2 linked regions of the Cricetulus griseus genome follow. The protein of the gene in region 1 interacts with the protein of each later gene in a pairwise test. Links are inferred from orthologs where the notes say so. Each region holds a gene or a part of one and is shown on either strand. Other genes may lie near its edges.

The links.
Region 2: the proteins of Prmt3 (region 1) and 40S ribosomal protein S2-like interact in binary tests that used the Homo sapiens proteins (3 or more experiments, as listed by UniProt). The link is inferred for Cricetulus griseus from reciprocal best matches to the Homo sapiens genes PRMT3 and RPS2.

The regions. Positions count from the first base shown.
Region 1 is NC_048596.1:146,822,131-146,825,961, forward strand, and holds part of Prmt3 (protein arginine N-methyltransferase 3), read left to right. Parts: intron 1-138; coding exon 139-298; intron 299-1,426; coding exon 1,427-1,568; intron 1,569-3,831. UniProt on the Homo sapiens protein: Protein-arginine N-methyltransferase that catalyzes both the monomethylation and asymmetric dimethylation of the guanidino nitrogens of arginine residues in target proteins, and therefore falls into the group of type I methyltransferases.
Region 2 is NW_023276806.1:173,250,513-173,253,267, reverse strand, and holds 40S ribosomal protein S2-like, read right to left. Parts: upstream 1,355-2,755; 5' UTR 1,264-1,354; coding exon 598-1,263; 3' UTR 587-597; downstream 1-586. Other genes in the region: Gsap (gamma-secretase-activating protein), read left to right, coding at 1-74.

The sequences.
Region 1 (3,831 bases):
GGATGTCAAGTATGTGAAATGTGCTTTTAATTTTTCTTACTTGACCATTGTAGGCACTTAGGCCCTTTATTCCCAGCCTGTTTGTCCCCACTGTGCTGCTGTGAGGTGGCCTGATAATGAAGTCCACTCTCCTTTTAGATGTAGAAGATCTTTATGAGCCAGTGGCGACTCCTTTCTCATACCCCAATGGACTCAGTGAAAATACAACCGTTGTTGAGAAACTGAAGCACATGGAGGCGCGGGCGCTGTCTGCTGAGGCTGCATTGGCTCGAGCACGTGAGGATCTGCAGAAAATGAAGTAACTACCTGTCCAACCAGACACTGCTTTAGGTGTAGTGTAGTTAATGGCAAGAACACTTGGGATGCTAGACACTCAGTGTATATATTTACTTTAGGAGTACTAAAGACATGCAGCATTGCAGCATTTCATAGTGTGTGAATATATATTTCTCTAGAATTGCATTTTTATGTATATATTTACTTTAGGAGTATTAAAGACACGCAGCATTTCATAGTGTGTGAATATAGAGTACTCTAGATCGCATTTTTATGCACCTGTGAGTACTTCATAATTTGCATGTGTGGCTCTTCTAATTTCCTCTTGAATATTTGTTTTTAATATTTCCTGTCTTTCAAGTTTCTTGTTTCTAGTTGGTTTCTCCTCTTTAATTGTCCTATCCTAGATTTTCAGAAATGGAAGAATTATTATTTTTTAGGTGTTGGGAAAATACAGTGTTGAAATGTTGTTTTTAAAAAATTAAAATGTGACAGTAGTGTGGAATTTGACCAAAGAATCATATAGATGGGGGCAGTTTTTACCCCACTGAGTTCTCATTCTCCAGGAGTCTTGCATCTCCTGGGGGACCTTGTTAGTCTAGAGGTGGGCACATGTGTGTCTATAGTATGTCCACTTCCCAGCTTCTGTCTTCTGGATCTGTATGCTGGTTGCTAGTACCTCAGTTCCTATTTGATGGCTAGCCAGAATGTCTTGTGCTAGGGAGATCAGAGTCCATCCAGGTTCCTAGTCCTTTTATGCTTGGGAACTTAGTCACCTATCACCAGCTAAACTTTTTACCCTTTTGTCCTCACTCTTGTGTACATTGGAGATCACTAATATGTCACCACCTGAGTGTGAGAACTGGAGTTGGTAGGGTCAGCTAACTTGGGTCTGCTTTCTGCTCATTTAACCCGTTTTAAGAACACTCAGAACAGTAGGAAAAATACATTTGAATAAAGCAGTGCATTGACGGGTTACCCAGATACTGCTTCAGATCCAGCAGAGGGCGCCGTCGGGGCTTCATCTAGAAAAGGATTTAAGATGCTGGGCACACTGTCCCCCTCCTCCTCCCTTTTCTCATCCTCCAGCCTTGCCTTTTCTCATGGTCCAATAAACCTGTCTCAAGGGTGTATTTCAAATTGATTACAGACAATTTGCTCAGGACTTTGTGATGAACGTAGATGTCAGAACCTGCTCCTCCACAACTGCCATTGCAGACCTGCAAGAGGATGAAGATGGTGTCTACTTCAGCTCCTACGGGCATTATGGGATACATGAAGAAATGCTAAAGGTTGGACAGAGTTCATGTGCATCAAATCTGCCAAGGGAGAACCTACAGAATAGGCCTTAATGCTCTTCGTGTGTGTGTGTGTGTGTGTGTGTGTGTGTGTGTGTGTTCATGTGCATCAAATCTGCCAAGGAGAACCTACAGAATAGGCCTTAATGCTCTTTGTGTGTGTGTGTGTGTGTGTGTTATACCCCTGGGGCTTAGATGAGTGCTCCTCAGATGAAAAGATTACAAAGGTGTCAACTCCCTTCCTATTTAAGTCAGTATTCATCTTTTCTTTATGAAGCCACTTTTTCCTTGAAATTGAACATTGGGAAAAACAACTGCTTGTGGTTCTGGTCTTCTCAGGTACATCTACAGTGTTAAGTAAGAAGTAAATGGCATGGTTGTTTTTTAACATGGAAAAATAGCAATGCTGACTTGGTCTGGGCAAGTAACCATCTTATAAAGTTTAATTTAAAATAGTTTTCACAGTATTCATGGTGACTGACTTATAACTCACAGAATCACTGATAATAAAGAAATGTTTCCTGATGTGGTCAGACCTGGTATTTGAATCTCTTCAGTTTTGATAGTCATAGTAGTAATGTCCATATAAGATAGAAGTAGTTTCTAACTTTACTTACTGACAGTACATTTTTATCAAATATTAAAGATAACATAAAATAGAACAAATTTTGGATTGTAAAATTTTTAGGTGTTTATCTCTAGGAATTTCAGATGTTACCTTCTCTTTTCCTAAAATTAATCAATTAAAAATCCTTTCTAAAGCCTCATTCCAAAGATTATTCTATTTAAAGGAAGCCCAAGACCTTTAAAGCAGTGTCATGCCATTAATACCATATATCATTTGCTGTCATCTGGGTAATGATGGCATAGCACCACAGACAGTATATAATTACAGACAGTATCATATAAATGAGACTAATTGTGTAAAAGAAATTTGCATGCTCTTGTTTTTATCTAAGTTGTTCGTTTATAAATAAAGTCAGATATTGGGGTAAAAACCTGATAAATCACAGAGTGCAGGAAGAGCAACCTGGAGAGCCAGCAAGTGCATCTTTCTCCACATATCCCAGACTAAAAAAGACTGTAAATCTTTAAGTCTCTCCCTACTCCTTCCTGTGTGTCTTCTCTATCAGTTTCCTTGGGTCCTCTGTATTCTTTATGGCTAATCAACTAGTTGCTGGCTCTGTCCCCAATCCAAGGTTAATTGTATTAACACAGTCTCAGAGTTTCACAGTGTGATCAAATATCCTGAAACAGCATGCTTCATATTTGGGTTATAACTTTTTCTGTAAAGATGATAAAATAGCCATCTAAGCCCAGTTAGCTATTTTAGATCTCTTGTTAACTTAGTGCTTCATGCCCTTTGTATATTTGGTGTGGAACTTGTGTAGCCTTTTCCAGACAGGCCATGGTCACTGAAAGTTCTGTGGATGGAAGTGTTCCTAATTGTACTGATCAGAGAAGGCTGCTTTGCATAGAACAAAGCTCTGCCTAGGACTCTTGTGCCTGTGTGTCAGTGACTAGAGACTGTGACATGTGACCAATGCGAAACTCCTGGATGTACACGAAGACTCCAGCTGATAGGCTGTTTATCTTTAGAGGATCACTTAGGCACTGTCTCTGACTCAGTTTCCCTTTCTGTGGTACAGGATTGCTCTTGTTGATGTTAATGGGTTTGATATTGGTTACGATAAGAAGTAGCTATGCCTTGGAGCAGGCATTTCAGTTTTTAACCAGATCAGGTCTCAGCACAAAGAAACTGTTCAGTGGTATCTTGCTACTATGGAAAACCTACCCAATTCTGACAAGTAATTTCAGATTGGAAAGCACTTAGTATAAGGTATTTTATAGACTAATTGGTGAGTTTTCTTGTTTGGTCACAGACATTTTATCGTAATTGCAATCTCATTTCTAGGGCTTGGATGAATGTAATTGTTTAAGTTTTAAAGACACAGGTGAGGGGGTGTGGGTTAAATGAACTTTAGATAGCTCTTGCTACTCTGGGCCTTTGAAGAAGGGTTGTTGGCTGTAATGCAGATCTGAGCTGCTCCCCAGTCTGCCTGTGTTTGCTATGGCAGTCACTGTCTGGGTGCACAGGCATGCTGGTCACTGTGCTGTTTAATAGCATGAAGTGCGGGTGCTTATTATGTTGTCTCCTTATACCTGCAGTTGTCCCGGGCTTTGTGTTCTCCTTCATATGCCAGTGCATCCTGAGGTGTTATGTGTGGGTATAAAATTACAGCGTGTGGCTTAAGGA
Region 2 (2,755 bases), on another chromosome or scaffold:
TGGACTGTGAGAAGATGGCTGCATTGCACTGTGCACTCTCGTGTGGTCAGGACCCAGGTTTCCAGGAAGACCAGGTGAGAAGATTGTGTGAGCCTGCACACTGACAGCAGACTGCACCAAACATTCTTGTTGCTTCAAGATGATCAGAAGTGATTTTTGCTCGGTAGCAGTGGTGGCTGTCTGCCAGACTGTGAAGGTCATGCATCTGGCTGTTGAGTACAGTTGTTCCCTTCATCTGTCATGTCACTTTCCATGACTTCAGTTATCTTACATCAACTCTGGCTTAATACTATTAAATGGAAAATCCCCCAAAGGAGCAATGCATATGTTTTACATGGTATGCTCTTTTAAGTAGTGTGTTGAAATCTTGTGCCATCCTGCTTCACCTGGCCTGGGGTTATGAACTGTTACTTTGTCCAACGTATTCATGTTACAGTTGCACTTTTCTGGTTTCCAATACTGTAAGCACAGATTCCTCCAAGGACACACAGGCAACAGTGAGTTTCTCAGCTACCTGCTTTTCTCTCCATGTCTGTGTTTTCTTGTTTTGTTTTGTTTTCAGACTTAATTCACTTTATTTTCCTTGTATAAAAACCCTTATGTGGTGGCCACAGCTGCAGCCTGGGTCCTCTGAACAGAGACTCTGGTGTGGGCTTTCACAAGATGGTCAGTGAATTCCTGATAAGGAGACTTGGTGAATACAGTCTCTTTCCAGAGGTCGGGGGTCAGGTAGCTGTAGGTCTTGGAGATGGCATCAAAGGTGGCCTTGGCAAAGTTGCCCAGGGTGGCAGTGCAGCCCCTGGCTGATGTGTAGCAGTCATCAATACCAGCCATCATCAGTAGCTTCTTGGGCACAGGAGCAGAGACTATGCCAGTGCCTCTGGGGGCAGGGATGAGACGCACCAACACAGAGCCACAGCGGCCTGTCACTTTACATGGAACAGTGTGGGGCTTGCCAATCTTGTTCCCCCAGTAGCCTCTCTGCACAGGGACAATGGAAAGTTTGGCCAGGATGATGGCCCCTCTGATGGCAGTGGCTACCTCCTTGGAGCACTTAACACCAAGATCAACATGACCGTTGTAGTCCCCAATAGCGACAAAAGCCTTGAACCTGGTCCGATGGCCAGCTTGAATCTGCTTCTGCACTGGCATGATCTTTAGAACCTCATCCTTTAGGGATGCACCCAGGAAGAAATCAATAATCTCGGATTCCTTAATGGGCAGGGAGAACAGGTAGATCTCCTCCAGGGACTTGATCTTCATGTCCTTAACCAGATGGCCCAGCTTGGTGACAGGGATCCACTCCTTGTCTTCGGCTTTACCTCCATGAGCCCCGAGGCTGCTGTCACGTCCTCAGTCATGTCCTCGACCACGACCATGACCGTGGCCCCTGAGACATTTCTGTGAGTTCAAGGCCAGCCTGGGCTACATATTAAGTTTGATGCTATCTTGAACTATAGAGCTAATTCCTGTCATAGCCTTCTCAGAACAAACAAACAAATGCCAAAGGCATAAGCACTTGTGACAAATGTTTATTAATTTTTAATAAGATAGCTTAGTTTGTATTGTACACTGCCGCTTATGAAGTGTTATCTATTTTGTCATTTACTTTATGAAGCTATCGTATAAGATCAGGAAAACCCTGTTGTCAATCAGTGATAGCTGGGGTTAGAGGCTGATTAGTTAGTTGAAAAAAAGCACACTTTTTAAAAAACACATAAAAATATACATTTATCTGCTTACCTTTAGTGTAGAACAGGCCTGTTCTCTGTGAACCAGTTGATTAAACTGCAGTCATTTTGTGCCACAAAACCAATCCCAGAATGTTGTCTCTGATTTCCTATTCCTTCCTAAGAGGTTTGTACTTGTGGATACATATTCATGTGTCTTTGTGTGTATACACACATGTGTGTGCATGCACACCTATGCACATGTGTGTGAAGGCCAGAAGTAACATTGTGTGTAACTCGATAAATAAAAGACCCAGAGACAGATATTGGAATTCAAACTTCAAGATGAAGATCAGAAAAGCAAAGCAGCTGGCCACTAGCTCTCACTCTACCTCAGAATGAAAGGGGATCCTGGCTCCACCAAACCTCAGACTGTAACCTCTCCTCAGTGTGGCTGGAGAATCCTGAGACTTCAGTGTCTTCCTATCCTCCATGTGGCTGGAGAATGAACGCCTGCTCTGAGACCCTGTTCCTGTCTTATATAACTCCCTAGCACTGGGATTAAAGGTGTGTGATCCCAGGTGCTGGGATCAAAGGTGTGAGCTCTGTTACTCTTCACTCTTGTATAGGCCAGGTAAGGCATGCAAAATAAGTCACCTGGCGAGACAGATTTAGAATCAAGCATCCTGTTGAGAGTGAACCATGGCTGGACATGTCTTACCTGTAAAGTAGGAGATGAGAACTCCAGCAGTTAGCACAAGGATAGAACTGTGAGAGAGTTGCAGACATGACAGAGGTCCCATGTGTCCCTTGTAAGGGAAGTAAAGAGGTGCTCCTCATGGGTAAGTTGTGTGACCATGTTCACAGTGATAACTGCACTGAACTTTAAGCCCAGGCTGCTGCCTCCAAACCCAGTAGTTTCATTGTACTTTGCTCCTGTGTCCCGCAGCTCTCTTGATGGGTTCTTTGTGTAACACCATCAATTCCTGCAAAACAAACAAACAAACAAACAAGCCACATATTGGATTGAAGTTTTATCTGCATACTACCCAAAGCTCCCTGTTAAAAGGATATGTAAAAAGCAC